Callithrix jacchus: one gene and its partners. The protein of the gene in region 3 interacts with the protein of the main gene of each other region in a pairwise test. Links are inferred from orthologs where the notes say so. Each region holds a gene or a part of one and is shown on either strand. Other genes may lie near its edges. The genes, in order: NELFCD, TIMM44, ARAF and CSNK2B.

Region 1 (4,715 bases), on a different chromosome or scaffold from region 3:
ATATATGGAACATGGCATCAAGTGAACGGAATGTGAGTCACCAACTGTCTTTTAAAATCCAGTTCTTGCCACCCTCCTAACACTTTTCCTAACTTTCTGTCCCTCGTCCAAGTGGGATCACAGAATAAAAATGAAATGAACATCTGGTCCACCCTCCTCATCAATGAGAGCCCACTGGTGTCAATGGGATACATTAGGATCATGATCAAAATTCCCCAAACATGAGGCCGGGCATGGTGGCTCATATCTGTAATCCCAGCACTTTGGGAGGCTGAGGCAGGCGGATCATGAGGTCAGAAGTTCAAGACCAGTCTGGCCAATATGGTGAAACCCCATCTCTACTAAAAACTACAACAATTAGCCAGGCAATTAGCGAGCCTATAGTCCCAGCTACTAGGGAGGCTGAGGCAGGAGAATCGCTGGAACCTGAGAGATAAGAGTTGCAGTGAGCCAAGAGTACACCATTGTACTCTAGCCTGGGCAAGAGCAAGACTCCGTCTCAAAAAAAAATTCCCCAATCTTCCAACAGCAGGGTCTAGAGTTGGAAGTGAAGGCAGATTAGATGGCCCTTACATTCCCCAGTTCTAACACTTTTTGACTCAGCGGCTCAAGGTGAGGCCAGGGGTGGTGGCTCAAGCCTATAATCCCAGCACTTCCGGAGGCTGAGGCGGGCAAACTACTTGAGGCCAGGAGTTTGAGACCAGCCTGGCCAACATGATGAAAGCCCATCTCTACTAAAAATACAAAAATTAGCCTGTAATCCCAGCTACTTGGAAAATCACTTGAACCCGGGAGGCAGAGGTTTCAGTAAGCCAAGATGACACCACTGCAATCCAGCCTGGGCAACAGAGTGAGACTCTGTCTGAAAAAAAAAAGAGAGAGAGAGAAAAAGTCTCGGCGTGGTGGCTCACGCCTGTAATCCTAGCACTTTAGGAGGCCGAGGCAGGCAGATCACCTGAGGTCAGGAGATCAAGATCAGCCTGGCCAACATGGTGAAAGTGAAACCCCATCCCTACTAAAATACAGAAATTAGTTGGGCATGATGGCAGGTGCCTGTACTCCCAGCTTCTAGGGAGGCTGAGACCACAGAATCACTTGAACCTGGTAGACAGTGGTTACATGAGCCGTGATCGTACCACTGCACTCCAGTCTGGGCAGCCCAGTGAGACTCCCCCCCACCCCCAAAAAAAAAAGAAAGAAAGAAAAAAGTCTCAAGGTGATATACGAGATGCCCCAAACACCAACCCACCACTAAGATAATTCATACCCTCTCATCTGGACCACTTTGGTGGTCAGCAATTTGATGAAGCTGCAATAGAGGCAAATGACATGGGTTTGGGTCCCCTCTCCTTCCTTTATTAGTTTCATGACTTTGGGAAGGTCATTAAGTCTTTCCACCTCACTTTCTTCACTTACCAGATAGAGTAACACCCAACTCAAAATCTTGAGTGTGGAAGGTGATAATGCATGAAGCACATGGCCCAGGCTCTCAGCCACATCTGACTCTCTATCCACTCTACCCTAAGCCTCCAACGCTGTGAAATGATCCAACATGCAAATCTACTCATATCACCTCCTGCCCCAAACTCCTGAACAAGCCATTCAGCGGCTCTCCAAGGATCTTCAGACCTGCTCCCTACTGACCTCCTGCCACTGCTTCCACCAGGCAGCTAACCTCACAGGCCTTCTTTCAGTTCCAGAAACACATCGCCTGTCCTGTTATTTGCTACCACAGCTCCGAAGCCGTCATCACACCACCATCCATGTTCATTGAAGTAAGCCCACTGCATCCTTCATTCCCTCAAAATACCAGTTCAAAATGGACCAAATATCCCCATTGTTGATTCTTGTTAAAAATGCAAGTTCCTGGGCCAGGCGCATGGGTCACACCTATAATCCCAGAACTTTGGAAGGCCGAGGTGGATGGATCACCTGAGATCCAGAGCTTGAGGCCAGCCTGGCCAACATGGTGAAACCCCCTCTCCACTCAAAATTTTAAAAAATGAGTGTGGTAGCAGGCGCCTGTAATCCCAGCTACTCGGGAGGCTGAGGGAGGAGAATCACTGGAACCAGGGAGGCAAAAGTTGCAGTGAGCCGAAATTGCACCATTACACTCCAGCCTGGGCAACAAGAGTGAAACTCTGCCTCAAAAAAAAATGCAAGTTCCTAGGCTCTCGTGCAGATCAACTGTAGGGACCTGAGAAGCTGCACATTTCAATCATGCGCAGCAGGTGGGTTTTAAGATTAGAAAAAGGCTCCGGCCAGTTGTCCTGGCGCTTGAGGAAGCGAGGCTGAGTTCAAGGCCAACCTGAGCAACATAAGAAGCTCTCATTAACAAAAAAAAAAAAGGTTAGAAAAAGGTGGTGACAAACCAGCCTGACTAGAACTGCCTTCCCTGGCTCTGCAGGCCCTGTCCTCAGGGGAGAATAGAGTGACCCCTCCTGGGCTTCCACTCCAAACCCTGGAAGGTCAAGGCCAGAAGATCCTTTTCATTATTTTGTCCAAAGACAGATGAAATCGGCCAGGGGTGCTGAAGAGTACAGTTTATAAAACAGTGAAACACAGTAGGAATGCCCAAAGTTTTACTTTTTCCCCACGATGCTGGTGTGAAGTTTTCCATTTTATTTTTGTTTAAAACTGTCTGGGCTTCGAGCCCAACCCTCCACCTTAGTATTGGTGTCCCACCCGCCGTGGGGGTCGCAGGGCCGGCGCCGAGGCTGGCCGGAACGAGGGGTCACTGGGGGCTTCGGGCTGTCCCGCTCCAGAGCCACCGCCGCCTCGTCCCCGCCCCACGGTCCTGCAGGCGAAGACGCAGGGACCCCGGGCTGGGGGGGCGGGGCGGGCTGTGTAGAACCACACGGAGACCGCGCAGGCCGTGCGCGCGCACACACCCCGCACGCCCGCGGCCTCGCGCCGCGCGGGCTTGCCGGGAGCGGAGCCGGCCCGCCGGCGGCGGAGACGAACGATCCTCGCCGGGGAGCGCCCGATGCCCCGCCTTACCTGGCCGCCGTCAGCCTCGTCGCCCGACTCGGCCGCGCTCCCGAAGTAGTCCTCATCCATGATGGCTCCCGGCGCGGACACCGCCATGCTCTACCGCGAGCTAGCGTGGCGCATGCGCGAGGCGAAAACGGGCGAGCGGACGCACGCGCGGCCCCGCGGCCCCGCCCCCCGCGCGCTCGGCCCGGGCGGGAGGCGGGGCTTGGAGGAAGGGGTGGGGCCTGGAGGGGGAGCAGAGCCGCGGGCTTCCCGCTAGGAACAAAGAGGACCGGGCGAAAGGAACGCCCCCCAATCGGTTTCTGAGCGCTGCTAGGGTGGGCCAGGGGCTTATGCAGAGAGGTTTCCAACTGGACTCGTGCACGGTCTCACTCCTGTTGCACCAGCCCTGCGAGCGCCAGTTTCTTCATCGGACAGCTGGGAACAAATTCTTTGGGGAGTGTCTAGAACCCACGAAAGTGTTTTAATTTCTTTTATTTTTGGTAAAAAGTACTAAACGCGGCAGGGCGTGGGGGCTCACGCCTGTAATCCCAGCCCTTTGGGAGGCCTCGGAGGGCGGATCACTTGAGATCAGGAGTTCGAGACCAGCCTGGCCAACATGCTGAAACCCCATCTCTACTCAAAATACAAAAATTAGCCAGGCGTGGTGACGGGCGTCTGTAATCCCAACTACTAGGGAGACTGAGGCAGGAGAATCGCTTGAACCCTAGAGGCGGAGGTTGCAGTGAACCAAGATCACACCACTGTACTCCAGCCTGGGCAACAGAGTGAAACTGTGTCTCAAAAAAAAAGAGAGAAAAGAAAAGAAAAAGTACTAAATGCAGTGGAAAGTAACGTTTTTAATTTTTTTTTTTTAAATGGAGGAAAGGCCCGCAAAGCAAAAGTGTCCAGAGCCCACAAAAATCTCTGGAGAAAGGACCTCCCTGGTAGCTGCCAAAGGGCGCAGGTGATGCTGTTGTGAAGCCCGCAGCACACTTCTAATGTGAAGTAGGGAGTAAGAACATGACAGCCTCTTGATAATCACGGAAAGGCTTTTGTTGGCTGTTGAGTGTGTGTGTGCTTTTTTAATTTTAAATTTGGTACATGTGCAGGTTTGTTACATTGGTATATTGTGTGATGCTTCTAATAATCCCTTCACCAAAGTAGTGAACATGGTACCAGATAGGCAGCTTTTCAACCTTTACCCGCACCCCCTCACCCCCCCCCCACCCCACCCCATCTCCCACACCTTCTGCCTTTTGGAATCCCCTGGGTCTGTTGTTCCCATCTTTGTGTCCAAATCGTGGAAAATTTTAAGCAGGGTGAAATTTTAACGCCATCAGATCTGGATACTTTAAAAGGAAATTTCCATGGCTGACCGCCGTGGCTCACACCTATAATCCCAGCATTCTGGGAGGCTGAGGTGGGAGGATTGCCTGAGGCAAGAGCTTGAGACCAACCTGGGCAACATACAGAGACATCCCCATCCCCTCGGCCAGGTATGGTGATGCATGCCTGCAGTCCTAGCAGCTCAGGAGGCTGAGGCAGGAGGATTGTTTCAGCCCAAGAGCTTGAGGTTGCAGTAAGCAATGGTCATGCCATTTCAGACTGTGTGACAAAGTAAGACCCTGTCTATAAACAAAAAAAAAAAGAAGGGTAATGCCCATGTCAGTAAGGAAAGGGTATTAAAGAGCTCCAGAATATTGATAATAGTGAACATTTATGGAGGGCTTATCAGGGAA
Region 2 (4,272 bases), on a different chromosome or scaffold from region 3:
ACCCTGGCCCAGGCCTGGGCTCACCTGGGAGAGGGCTCTGAAGGCCGCTGTCCTACCCAGCTTCTCCCCGCCTTTGGACATCGACTCGGCTGACTGCTTGGCCGTCTTGGCCACTTCCTCCACACCCTCCTTGATTTTCCGGCCAAGATCACTTTTACTCACTTCATGAAGGCTCTACTGAGACAGACAAAGGGGGGCGTTGGCACCAGACCCAGGGGCAGGGGATGCAGGAGGAATGAACTCCTGCTGGAGGGAAGGGCAGATCTGGCTTCTGAGGCCAGCATAGGCCTTCTGTGCTCCTGTGGCGCACAGAACCACCAGAGCCACGAGACCACCACCATGGCTTCCTGGGTGCTGGTCCCTGGGCGAGGGGTGAGATGCTGGGTCAACTGGCCCCTCCTGAAAATGGGCAGGAGTCCTCTGGAGACAGAGGAAGTGCTCGGACCCCATGCTGGGCAAACCCAGATAGAACAGGTGACAGAGGAGAGCCTGCAGCACCCCAGGAGGCCTCCCTCCCGCCTCCACCCTTGCCTGGGGATGGAAGAGGCCCCTCCCCTCCTATTTTCAGGCTGGAAAAACATTTTCGTTTTCTCCTCGTCCTGGCTTACTGCTGCTGAGTTACAGGGTCAACTGTCATGCAAGGTCACGAGTCTGACCTCATCCTGTGTGTGCCTGGGGAACTCCAGAAGCCTTCCCGAGGGTGGTCCCAGGCCCCATGTCACCCAATGCTGCCAAGTCACCCCCCACCTGGGAGCCGACTCTTCCTTCAGCAGCAGGGGGACTGCGGTGGCCCCCAGGGGCTCTAGGTGGGTGTGGGACTCTTACCTCCTTCATGGTGCCTGTCAGCTCCCCAAGCTTCTTCCATAGCACCTCACTTGTCCGCATGGTTTCTGACTCCATGGTTTTCTAGGTAAAGAGTGTTGTGTCTTTGCCCGGCTAATTTTTGTCTTTTTAGTAGAGATGGGATTTTACCACCTTGGCCAGGCTGGTCTCAAACTCCTGACTTCAAGAGATCCACCTGCCTCAGCCTCCCAAAGTTCTGGGATTACAGGTGTGAGCCACTGCATCCGGCCAAGCTTTGTGTCTTTAAGTCTGTTTTGATATAGCAGTGCCATTTCTCTTACAGCCAAAGGTCCAAGAAACATTTTCTCGGCAGCCCCTCCCTCCCCACGCCTGCCACCATGCGCTGCCTCCGGGGCCCCTGACAGCCCATGTGGCTTGGATTAAGGGTCTCAGCGGCTGGGAGCTCCCTGCCCAGAAGGCTGGCAGACTCAGACTCTGGCGTGGCAGCTACCTCCTGAGAACAGGAGGCCCAGTTTGACTTTCACTGGGTGGCAGGAGGTGACCTTGCCTGTCATCACTCTGCCCCTCATCCAGCCTCCAGCCACCACAGCTTGGTCTTATGTCTCCCACACCATCCATCCCCCGTAAACCCAGCCTGCACTGTCCTCAGGTGGCCCCTGCCTTAATGCTAAAGAGGGGCTGGGCATGCAGCTATAGTCCCAGCGATTTGAGAGGCTGAGATAGGAGGATCGCTGGAGCCCAGGATGGGAGACCAACACAGGCAACCCTGTCTCTACAAAAAATAAAAAAAAATCAGCCAGGCATGGTATCCCATGCCTTTAGTTACACCTTCTCAGGAGGCTAAGGTAGGAGGATCACCTGAGCATGGGGAGGTCAAGACTGCAGTGAGCCATAATCGCACCACTGCACTCCAGCCAGGGTGACAGAGCAAGACCCTGTCTCAAAAAATCAAACTAGGCCAGGCATGGTGGCTCATGCCTGCAATCCCAGCACTTTGGGAGGCCAAGGTGGGCGGATCACCTGAGGTAGGATTTCCAGACCAGCCTGGCCAACATGATGTTGGCCTCTCTCTACTAAAAATACCAAAATTAGACACTCGTGGTGGTACATGCCTCTAATTCCAGTTTTTTGGAAGGTTGAGGCAGGAGAATCATTTGAACCCAGGAGCCAGAGGGGCAGTGAGCTGAGATCGTGCCACTGTACTCCACCCTGGGCGACAGAGCAAGACTCTGTCTCAAAGAAAACACACACAAAAAACCCCACAAACTAAGTCAAACGAAAACAAAACCCAAGGGACCTGTGGCAGGTGCCTGCATCTCTGAGGCTCAGCTGCTCATTGGTAAGCTGGGGACACTTGCACCTGCCTCGAAGGGCCCTGACAAATAAAGGAAAGCAGAGCCATTCCCAGAAGCCAGGCCTTGGCAGCTGCTCAAGAAGAGAATTAATAATCACAGGCTGGGAGCAGTGGCTCACGCCTGTCATCACAACACTTTGGGAGACTGAGGAATGCAGATCACTTGAGGCCAGGAGTTCAAGACTAGCCTGGCCAAAATGGTGAAACCCCTTTTCTACCCAAAAAAAACCAGATCACTTGAGGCCAGGGGTTCAACGCCAGCCTGGCTAACATGGTAATACCTGTCTTTACTAAAAATACAAAAATCAGCTCAGTAGTAATGCCTGTAATCCCACCTACTCAGGAGGCTGAGGCAGAAGAATTGCTTGAGCCTAGGAGGCAGAGGTTGTGGTGAGCTGAGATCGTGCCACTGCACTCCAGCCTGGGTGACAGAGTAAGACTCTGTCTCAAAAGAAAAAAAAAAAAAATAAAGAAAAATCAGCTGGGTGTGGTGGCAGGTGCCTATAATCTTAGCTACTCAGGAGACTGAGGCAGGAGAACAGCTTGAACCCAGGAGGTGGAGGTTGCAGTAAGTCAAGATTACATCACTACACTCCAGAGCAATGATGCCTGGGTGACAGAGCAAGATCCCATCTCATAAAGTAATTATACCAGCACCATCACCTAGTTTCCACCCGGCTTCACTCAGGGGGCGACAGCTGGGAGCTCTCAGGAGCGCTGCATCCCACGGCTGATGTGCATGTGTTGCCTGCGGTCCTGTGAAGATGTGAACGCTGGCCTGGCAGTTTGGGAGGGTGTGAGCCTCTGCATCTGGCACCCACTCCCAGGAGCAGCCACAACTGCTGGTCTGGGGACCATGCTTGAAGGTGCACAGAATGCTACATGGTTTCATGGCAGAACCCAGAGGCCCGGAGACCTGCTCCTGTCCCCTGGCTGCCTCTCATTAGTGCATCAGAGCAGTGACCTCACGAGCCACCCTGCCCCCAACCGTCTGGCCCTGAGCTCCTCTGGCTGAAGCTGGCCTGGAGTAACCCTGGCTCTGGAAACAGATATGTCAACCAAGAAAAATAAGAAACAAAGGCGCCTGACAAGGTGGCTCACGCCTGTAATCTCAGCAATTTGGGAGGCCCAGGCGGGCGGATCACCTGAGGTCGGGAGTTTGAGGCCAGACTGACTAACAGGGAGAAACCTCGCTTCTACTAAAAATACAAAATTAGCCTGGCGTGGTAGCATATGCCCGTAATCCCAGCTACTTGGGAGGCTATGGCAGGAGAATCACTTGAACCCAGGAGGTGGGGTTTTGGTGAGCCAAGATTGTGCCACTGCACTCCAGCCCAGATGGGGGAAAAATAAAGCAGCAAAGGAACTCACGTATTTCCTTCTGGCCTCCTGGAGCGTGTCTGATTCTTCCAGCCTCCTGGCCTCATCGCGAAATTTTTTAATACTTTCTTTCATTTCTTCGTTTTTGGCTAATTCTTGTTTGATATTATCTAGCAAGCCGGACAGAAAGCCTTTTCTGTTTCCAGAAGAATATGATTTGGACTAGAAAGAACGCAAAAGAAAAAAACATTTAAGGAACACAGTAGGGCCGGGTGCGGTGGTTCACGCCTGTAATCCCAGCACTTTGGGAGGCTGAGATGGGTGGATCATGAGGTCAAGAGTTTAAGACCAGCCTGGCCAACATGGTGAAACCCCCTCTCTACAAAAAATACAAAAATTAGCTGGCCTGTAGTCCCAGCTACTCACGAGGCTGAGGCAGGAGAATTGCTTGAACCCAGGAGGCGCAGGTTGCAGTGAGCTGAGATCGTGCCACTGCACTCCAGCCTGGCGCCTGGCGACAGAGCAAGACTGTGTCTCAAAAAAAAAAAAAAGTAAAGAACACAGTAGAAGAACATACAACAAAAAGCCCCACAGAGGGACTCTAAGGGATTTTTGTTCTGTTTTGTTTTTGTTTTGAGAAGAGTCTCACTCTTTCGCCAGGCTGGCGTGCAGTGGTGAAATCTCAGCTCACTACAACCTCTGCCTCCCAGATTCAAGTGATTCTCCTGCCTCAACCTCCTGAATAGCTGAGACTACAGGTGCCTGCCACTGCGCCCAGCTAATTTTTGTATTTT
Region 3 (4,272 bases):
GCCATTGTTAAAGTAAAATGGTAGTCACTTGAAGACAAGCACTATGATATTGAGTCAGTTGTTTGATAACTGAGCAGGCTTCTAAGAGATGGGCGGTAGCACAGACAGTGTGGATCTGCTAGATAAAGGGATGATTCACATCCCGGGTGGGATGGTGCAGGATTTCATCATGCTACTCAGAATGCACGCAATTTAAAACTTATGAATTGTTTATTTCTGCAATTTTTAAATTTAACACTTTCCTACCCAGTTGATCACAGGTAACTGAAATCGTGGAGAGTGAAACCACAGATAAGGGAGGACTATGGTAGTTCAACTAATCTATGAGTTCATCCAATTTTTGTTTTGTTACTTCATTGATTCATTGGCCTGTAAGGTCAGCAACTCATTCTCCCCTGGCCCCCAAGTCCTCACCCTGCTCCATCACTTCCTCCCAGATTTCATCTATTTTGTCTTTTCGCGATTTCATGAATTCATCAGCTCTCTTCTTCCTCATTTTCCCCATTCTTTGTCTGCTGAGTTGGGCCTTGCTGACCTTATTTATTCCTCTCTTGTGAGGTTCCTTAATTTTGTATGCAGTTCACACACTGCACTTTGTTATTTCAGTGCCTCCTCAGCCCCCTTTTCAGGGGCTGGCTTAGTGCTCCTGAGATGTAGTTGTTTAGTTTCATTTGCTTCTCCACTTCCGTTTAAGAGCATGGACTCTTCACACAGTCCTGCCTTTCATTACACTTGTGGCCTTGGGCCAGTCACTTTATCCCTCTGAGCCTGTTTCCCCATCTGTAAAGTGGGGGCAAGGATAGTAAATAATTCCTAGAGTAGCTATGATGAGAATTAAACATGCCAGACATGACGCTGTGGGTAGCAGGCTTGGAGGGACTTTTGGGAGTTCCCTGCCTCCCCATAACCCCTCCCCACCCTCCCACTCATTCCCTTCCATGCCCCCTGCAGACGAAAGACGGTTACTGCCTGGGACACAGCCATCGCTCCCCTGGATGGCGAGGAGCTCATTGTCGAGGTCCTTGAAGATGTTCCGCTGACCATGCACAATTTTGTGAGTGCAGGGTGGACATTGTGGGCCGACTATGGTTGAAGGGTGTCCTTGATCAGGTCTTAAACTTCCCTGCTCTGTGGCATCAGGTACGGAAGACCTTCTTCAGCCTGGCGTTCTGCGACTTCTGCCTTAAGTTTCTGTTCCATGGCTTCCGTTGCCAAACCTGTGGCTACAAGTTCCACCAGCATTGTTCCTCCAAGGTCCCCACAGTCTGTGTTGACATGAGTACCACCTGCCAACAGTGAGCCCAACCTAGGGTGGGTGGGGGGATGGGGAGCACAGAGGCCCAGCCACAAGGCCCTTACAGACAGCTGATCCGTGTCCCCTTGCTTTATACCCTTCATGCCCTCAAGGTTCTACCACAGTGTCCAGGATTTGTCCAGAGGCTCCAAACAGCATGAGGCTCCCTCAAACCGCCCCCTGAATGAGTCGCTAACCCCCCAGGGTCCCAGGTAGGGATGCCTTAGCTGAAGGGGGAGAAAAAGATCTGGGGCTCTTGTAGACCACAAGCCATACTTTATTCATTTGTTTACTTGACAAACATTTATTGAGCACCTACAAGTGTGAATAAGGGCATGAAACTGGGACCTTGGACAAATCACCTGATTTCTCTGGGCCTCAGTTTTCTCATCTGTAAAGTGGATAATGATACTTTCTACCATATAAGGTTCTGGTGAGGATTAAATGAGTTAAGATGTTCATTGCCTAGAACAGGATCTGGTACAGTGTAAATAATTCTTTTTATTATTAATTATAAATATAAGCATCTAACTATTTTGCTAATTCTTCTAGAACCATGCTCAAGCCTTTCCTTTTTGAAATGTTTTATAAATTACTTCCCTTTTATTGCTTTTTATGTTTAATATTATAATAATACAATACTATAGCTATATTAAAATATATTACTGCTCTAATATATATTTTATAATGTGTATGTTTTATGGTATTTTTATGTTATTGTATCATGTTGTATTACATAATTGTGTGTCATGTAGAACATCATACGTGTTTATATAATACATAAAATAAGGTTAGGGTATTATTATTTTAATGTGTGTATGTGGATTAATTACCGTTGAGTTTCATTTCAGGAGAGTGAGGGAACATTAACATATTTTTGTAACTTTCTGTTTAGCATATATCCTATGTATAACATGCATGTATAACATAGAACATGGTAATATGTATACTTTAAGACATTGGCATTTTAATATAGATAATGCATATTATATAACATTTGAAGAATACATGTAACTATAATATATAATGATAAAATATGATACATTGCCCTTTCCCACTATCCGTGTGGCTTGCTATCCTGCCTTTAGGCGTTTACTCCAGTGTCACCTCCTCAGAGAAGTCTTTTCTGACACTTTATAGGAACACTGTGTCTCCTTATTTTGCTTTACTATTTTTCTTTATTGCACCTGTCACCATCAGGCATATTATATATTTGTTTTTTTATTTCAGCCCCATGAGGGCAAGAACTGTTATTTTGTTTTACAGTTTTATCTCCACCACCTAGAATGGTATCTGGCACACAGCAGGCACTCAATAAATGTTTCTTGAAGCAATGAATAATAGTACTGCCAGTGGACATTCGCTCTGTGTGAGCTAAATGCATGTTTACGGCCGGGGGTGGGGTGGGGGGCTTTCTTGGTTCTCTGATTCCTGACAGTGATTTCACAGCCTTTCCCCTGGCAGCCCCTGCAACCAGCACTGTGACCCGGAGCACTTCCCCTTCCCCACCCCAGCCAATGCTCCCCTGCAGCGCATCCGCTCCACGTCCACTCCCAACGTCCATATGGTCAGCTCCACGGCTCCCATGGACTCCAACCTCATCCAGGTTGGTGCTGTGGGGGACAATCGTGGGGACCGCTGGACAGAGGGGAGAGTCATTTCTGTTGGCCTCCGTGCCCTCTTTTTGACCCCTGTCCCTCTTCTTCTAGCTCACTGGCCAGAGTTTCAGCACTGATGGTGAGTCCCCCGTGCCTGCACTCTGGCCCTCGCCACCCCACTTGCCTCCACTCACATCCTCTCTGTAACTGCAGCTGCCAGTAGTAGAGGAGGTGGAGATGGAGCCCCCCGGGGGAGCCCCAGCCCAGTCAGCGTGTCCTCGGGGAGGAAGTCCCCACATTCCAAGTCACCAGCAGAGCAGCGTGAGCGGAAGTCCTTGGCTGATGACAAGAAAAAAGTGGTATGATCAAGGGGGGACCTTTTGGGGGGACCAAGGCTGAGTTATGTGGGATGAAGGATGTGGGCAGGCCTCTTAGATGCCACCCATCTGGCCCACAGAAGAACCTGGGGTACCGGGACTCAGGCTATTACTGGGAGGTACCACCCAGTGAGGTGCAGCTGCTGAAGAGGATTGGGACAGGCTCGTTTGGCACCGTGTTTCGAGGGCGGTGGCATGGCGATGTGGCTGTGAAGGTGCTCAAGGTGTCCCAGCCCACAGCTGAGCAGGCCCAAGCCTTCAAGAACGAGATGCAGGTGCTCAGGTGAGGTTGAACGTGTGCATGGATTGGGGTGGCAGCCCTGGCCTTGGCCCTTCCCGGGAAAAGGCCATGCTTGGAGTGCTTCCTGGATATCACCTGCATTTGTGTTGTTAAACCATCATCAGAAGTTGTTTCTCTCTGAAGGATGTCCCTCTCCCCTCTGGGAAATGGGTATGTTTACAGGACCTCTGATTGTGCAGTTGTTTTGTGTTTGGGTTATTAATTAATGGCTCTGCCTCCAAAGTGTGGGTCTTCTCAGTTGCCTGCTGTGAACTGGGTTTGGGTGTGGGCCATCATTGCAGTAACCCCATTACCAGGAAGGCTTGCATCTTTCCTTCCCCTCTGCTTGAACTACATCAGTAATGTTCTGTTTATAGTGTTGGTTCTCATTATTCACTAATTCTAATGCCTTGATTTAAACAATATTATTATCATCACAAGAATCTAATTATTGCTTTATTATTATAATTACTATTAGTATGTAATCAATACAGTATTCATCCAGCCATGCTAAGAAAGCCAGGTGTCCCTTTTTTGCTGCTATAGTTACTATGTAGCACATAGTAACTATAATAGTACTGCCAGTGGACATTCGCTCTGTGTGAGCTAAATGCATATTTATGGCTGGGGGCCTGTATACCTATATACTACAGGTAGTACTGGATAGCTTCTACCAGTTCTGGGGATGTCAGCATGGGCTTTTCCTCTCTGTCAAATGAGCAC
Region 4 (4,974 bases), on a different chromosome or scaffold from region 3:
GGATCTTAGGCCTTTCCTTTGACCCTTAATCACTCTCTCTGCTTCCTACCTGGGCACAAACTGGTTGGCAGGTCGTTTGGGCCGGTACTCGGGATGCACCATGAAGAGCATGTGAGGGAAACCAGTGCCGAAATAGGCGCCATCCGTGTGATGGTGCCGTGATGACTTGGGTGTGTACACATCCATGCACTTGGGGCAGTAGAGCTTCACCATGGCTTCACCTGGGATGTCTGAAAGGCCTGGGAGACAGCCAGACTCAGCAGGCCAGGTAGCCCCCCATTCCCACCCTCACCTCCCCTCAGGACTCAGGCCCCAACATGCTGAGCCCAACTCCTTTCCATAAGACTGTCACACAGTTCCTTCCTTTCCCTGCTTCAACACTCACCAATGGGAAGCATTGGCTGGTTCTCACAGTACACACGGGGACAGTAGCCAAAGTCTCCCTGCTGGTACTTTTCCAACTGAGGTGAATAAAATGGAAGGGGTTGGCAGGTAGGTGTTAAGAGAAGAGGCAACTCCCTTCTCAGCCCAACCCACATCACTCTGTCCCCCACTCCTCCCACCTCTGTCCAGAGGCCCCTTCACTGGCCCAGATGGGCTCTCAAACTCCTATGTTGCCTTTCTTCCAGTTAGGCAGACAACAAACCATCAGAGCCATTCACTGTTTGTTCCTTGAGGAAGAGCCAATCTATAACAACTCTCTGTTCAAGGTCTGTCTCCCTCCCTGAAAACGATCCCTTCAGGATGACCCCCAATCAGGATTAAATTCCAAGGCCCAAGTTCTGGGGTTCTTCCCCTCTTCTCAGCTAGCTTCCTTAGCTGGGCTGAAACATGACTTCTTGCTGCAGGAACCTGTTTCTCTTACTGCTCAGAAAGAGGCAAGTGGGAGCAGAGTGGCCTCACCATCTGGGCAATGCCACGGTTGGTAAGGATGTAGCGGGCGTGGATCAATCCATAAAGCATCTCGGCTGCCTGCTCAATCAAGTCACTCTGGTTGGGGTTGTCTTCCAGTTCTTCATCTGAAACACAGCCCAGCCAAATGCAACCACTTGTTTTTCAGCTTTCCTAGGTGCCCTGCCCATACCCAGGGGCTGCTAGCTATTCAGTTTGCCTAGCACCTACTTTTGAGCCTTACCCTATCCAACACCTGGGCATGTGACCCAGAAACCTGGGCTTCTGACGCTTTCACCAGCCCAAGGCAGAGCTCTGCCTTCTCTTCACACCTCGTCAGCCTCTGCCCTCTCCTCTCCTCTCCTCTCCCTCCCAACTCCCTCCTCAATACATAAATGCGACAATATCAATGCAGAAGATCAAACTCCGGACTAGAAGGTCCAAGGTAGGAGAAACAGACAGCAAATGAGACCCATGAGGAAACCCATTTTGGAATAGATCCGAACTGTGGATTTAAAAAGTATGGGAAACAAGTGATAATGCGTCACAAAACTAGACAAGAGTCAGGTGGAGGATCAAAATAAAGCATGAATTTGGGGTTAAGAAAATCAGAGAACCAAAGGAAATTTCAAAATTCAAGCAAGTGAATAGGGATCTGAAGAGAAAAAAAAGTACACGCACACACACAAACAACCCTGAGGGTGCCTCACCAGGCTCCAGGTCCAAGATCATATCTAGAGCTTGTCGATAGTGAGGGACCTGCTCATTGAGTCCAGTAAGATTAAATTTGTCCTGGATGTAGTCTTCATCCACCTGTCAGGATATGGAAGCCAAGAGGGAACCCATGTCAAAATCTCCATCTTTAACGTGAGCAAAATGCTCTAACTGATGCCTTGTTATCAACCTAACTGCTCTGTTCCCCCTTGTTTCTCACTTGAAACTCAGCAGAAGTACTCGCGTCTCTTCTCTGTTCACCTATACTCCCTCCCATAAAAGCTTTGGCTTTTGTTTTCTAAGGATAAGCAGGTACAGCAGTCTTTTTCTTAGAGAGACATTCTTTTCAAGATCTCTATCCTTATTCCTGTCTCCCATCGCTAGGAACCATTTTGTCCTCTCAGCTGGCTAAGGAAGGTGGAAGCTGAACAGCCTGGTTTCTGAACAAAAGATTTGGATACGTAGCATTTCAATTCTCCTAACGGCCACCTGAGACAGGTACTAGCAGTGCCACTTTAGTAATAAAAGACACACGCTGGGTGCACTGGCTCATGCCTGTAATCACAGCCCTTTGGGAGGCCAAGGCGGGCAGATTACCTAAAGTCTGGAGTTCGAGATCAGCCTGGGCAACCTAGTGAAACCCTGTCTCTACTAAAAATACAAAATTAGCTGGGCGTGGTGGCAGCCACTTGTAATCCCAGCTACTTGGGAGGCTGGAGCAGGAGAATCACTTGAACCTGGAAGGCAGAGGTTGCATTGAGGTGAGATCACACCACTACACTCCAGCCTGGGTGACAGAGCAAGACTCGGTCTCAAAAAGAAAAAAAGAGAAAGTCACAAATTGCCTAGTCCAACGTTATATTGCTGGAGGATGGCAGAGTTGGGACAGGCCCCAATTTTGCCACTTTAGCACAGATTTGCCGGGGGTTACTGAGGGGACTCTTCATTGATGGGAAGTTTTCAAGTAGCATATAAGAGAACGATGAGGAAGTGGAATATGTGGAGAAACGTCTAGTGGGAATCTATGTGGAGCTGGCAAGGAGGGGGGTTGAAGAGAACTCACTTCACAGAAGAATTCATTGCCACGGAGCCCACAGAACCAGGAAATCCAGGACACCTCCTCTGAGCTGCTCATCTTCACGTCAGCTGGAAAACGAAGAATGTCAGTAAAGCTCAAGTTCTCCCTCCTTGCCTCTGGTATCCTCCCTCCTCCCACATTCGGCCCTCCAACCACGGGAGACTTTAGAATTTGGAGCCGTCCTTTTTTAAAGGATCCCAAACTCTGAAACACTCCTCTCCAGCTCCTCTAATTTACGTCTCAGCTCCTTTTCTTTGAGGTTAAACACACTTTGGGGTCCCACCACTTGAGAGAACCCAACAGATACTTTGACCCACCAGCCTGACCCACATCCCTGGAGCTCCCGAAGGCCAGGGCCCTCTCTACTTTGTGTCACCTCCAGCACGGACCTCGGCTCAGGCTCCCTACCACTGCAGCTCTCTGCATGACCCCGGCGCCTTTCCCAAGCGTTTCGAAGTTTATCATTCTCTAGCAAGAGCCGGGCCCCTCCTCTTCTTATGGGCTGGAGCGACCGTCAAGTCCCTTTCACTGGAGTCCACACATCTTGCCTCCGCTCCTCAGGCCACCTCTCCCTCCTTTGTGCCGGACCTGGTCGCTTCCTCCCCCGCCCCCACATCAAAGTACGGAGACCCCATGTGCTGCTCCCAACAAGAGACTCTGAGTAGCGACGACCTCAGACTCACCGCCTGGACGGGGACCAGGACTGGGGTGGGGTAGGGAAGTCGCTAGTTCCAAAGAACGGCGGCGACCGCTACAGCGCAGGCCGCGGACCCGACCGCGGCAAGAGAAGTGGGGTGGGGGGGAGTGGAAATTGGGGAGGGTGGGGAAGAGGGCAACACGCAAGCGCCAAGGGTCAGGTGCTGCGATGGATGCCGGGACACGGAGTCCCAGGTAGAAAGAGAAACTGGTGAAATGAAGGAAAAGCGAACTACCAATCCCAGGAAGACCCGCGGACGACCTGGCTGTCACGAAGCCCCGGAGGAGGACGCTTGCGGGCGGGGCACAGCGAGAAGCCACCGGAAGCGGAAGCCAGGTATGACGTTTGGGGCCAGGGAGCCTGGGAAATATAGTTGTGTGCTCACTGGGAGAAAAGCCGAGATGGGGCGGGGAGAGGAGGGAGACACGCAGTTCCCGTCTAGTTCCGGCGCAGCGGGGCGCTGCTGCCCAGGGGACTGGCCCATCCCCGGCCAATCCGCTGGGTCCTTATTGATTGTTGAGCCCCTAGTGAGAGTCAGTCCCGCCGGACACCCTTGACTGGCCTCCTGTTACCCTCCCGGCTCTGGCCTCATGAGGCGAGAGGTGCAGTTTGGCTCCGTGCGTAGGGACTTGGGTTGGGTGGGCTGGGCTGAGCTGAGCTGAGCGTTGTGAGAACCAGAACGGCCCAGTGCGGTAACCTGAGGTGGGGCCAGCCATTTCGCTCGTCCCCTTGCACTTCTCCTTTTACGCTCTAAGTGTGACCTTAGAACCCTGGTCAGAGTAATGGTGAGGGGCAGGCGTGACGTTATTTCATTTCACGGCTTCTCGGCATTCCACAAGTTTCCCTCCGCCTCCTGAGGGCCTTTCCTAACACGGAGAGTGGATTCCCAGGTCCAGAAAATGGACTTGGAGCGAGGGGGCGGGGAGGGGGGCGGTTCACGTTGAGGAAGGCGAAGGGCATTGTGGGGGCGTATAGGTAAAAGTAGAACCCTAACCGACAGATCCTGGTGCTCGCGCCAGCGGGGCGCGCAGAGCTTTGCGCGTTTGCTATTGGAAAGGTTCCAGCGCGGGAAACTGAACTGGGAGCTTTGCGCACGCCTGAGCCCTCAAGTAATGTGGGTTGTGGTTTTTGTTGTTGTTGTCGTCGCCACGCATGCGTCTTCGTGCCGTGCGGCTGTTTGATTGTGTCAACTCTTCTGTTTAGAATAGTGCCATTTTGCCGTACGAAAGCTACACAGCATCGCAGACTGGAGCCTGTCCTCCAGATCTTCCTAGGGAGTGACTTCTGTTTCGGAGAAAACTCCAAAATGGTATCGAGGAAGATTTAAAGGGACAGGCTGATTTTTTTCTTAATGGTATGTGTGTTTTACGGAGGGGTAAAATGGTTTCAGAAAGAGGCTGGTATTTATTGTTGGTGAGGATGGGGGTGGGAGTGGGGGCGGGACGCAGGACCGCTGGACAACTGTCTCATGGAGTTTTATTAACCTTTGCTAAGGAGCAGAGTCGGTTATTGTAGGGTTCTGTGTTTTTACAGAAAACCTCTTTCCCTTAGGCCCTGCAAGGTCCTAAGTTGTGGCGTCATTTTAGCGGCAGGA

Evidence for each region.
Region 1: the proteins of ARAF (region 3) and NELFCD interact in binary tests that used the Homo sapiens proteins (3 or more experiments, as listed by UniProt). The link is inferred for Callithrix jacchus from reciprocal best matches to the Homo sapiens genes ARAF and NELFCD.
Region 2: the proteins of ARAF (region 3) and TIMM44 interact in binary tests that used the Homo sapiens proteins (3 or more experiments, as listed by UniProt). The link is inferred for Callithrix jacchus from reciprocal best matches to the Homo sapiens genes ARAF and TIMM44.
Region 4: the proteins of ARAF (region 3) and CSNK2B interact in a two-hybrid assay, tested with the Homo sapiens proteins (2 studies listed by BioGRID and IntAct). The link is inferred for Callithrix jacchus from reciprocal best matches to the Homo sapiens genes ARAF and CSNK2B.

The regions. Positions count from the first base shown.
Region 1 is NC_133506.1:54,549,074-54,553,788, reverse strand, and holds the start of NELFCD (negative elongation factor C/D), read right to left. Parts: upstream 3,098-4,715; 5' UTR 3,088-3,097; coding exon 3,001-3,087; intron 1-3,000. UniProt on the Homo sapiens protein: Essential component of the NELF complex, a complex that negatively regulates the elongation of transcription by RNA polymerase II.
Region 2 is NC_133523.1:7,472,693-7,476,964, forward strand, and holds part of TIMM44 (mitochondrial import inner membrane translocase subunit TIM44), read right to left. Parts: intron 3,701-4,272; coding exon 3,530-3,700; intron 907-3,529; coding exon 826-906; intron 175-825; coding exon 25-174; intron 1-24. UniProt on the Homo sapiens protein: Essential component of the PAM complex, a complex required for the translocation of transit peptide-containing proteins from the inner membrane into the mitochondrial matrix in an ATP-dependent manner.
Region 3 is NC_133524.1:48,529,619-48,533,890, forward strand, and holds part of ARAF (serine/threonine-protein kinase A-Raf), read left to right. Parts: intron 1-951; coding exon 952-1,054; intron 1,055-1,140; coding exon 1,141-1,295; intron 1,296-1,407; coding exon 1,408-1,506; coding exon of another isoform or gene 1,507-1,510; exon of another isoform or gene 1,511-1,650; intron 1,651-2,743; coding exon 2,744-2,900; intron 2,901-3,003; coding exon 3,004-3,031; intron 3,032-3,105; coding exon 3,106-3,251; intron 3,252-3,349; coding exon 3,350-3,552; intron 3,553-4,272. UniProt on the Homo sapiens protein: Involved in the transduction of mitogenic signals from the cell membrane to the nucleus. May also regulate the TOR signaling cascade. Phosphorylates PFKFB2.
Region 4 is NC_133505.1:39,169,267-39,174,240, reverse strand, and holds the start of CSNK2B (casein kinase II subunit beta), read right to left. Parts: upstream 3,265-4,974; 5' UTR 3,149-3,264; coding exon 3,073-3,148; intron 2,752-3,072; coding exon 2,669-2,751; intron 1,705-2,668; coding exon 1,602-1,704; intron 1,020-1,601; coding exon 904-1,019; intron 462-903; coding exon 386-461; intron 240-385; coding exon 50-239; intron 1-49. UniProt on the Homo sapiens protein: Regulatory subunit of casein kinase II/CK2.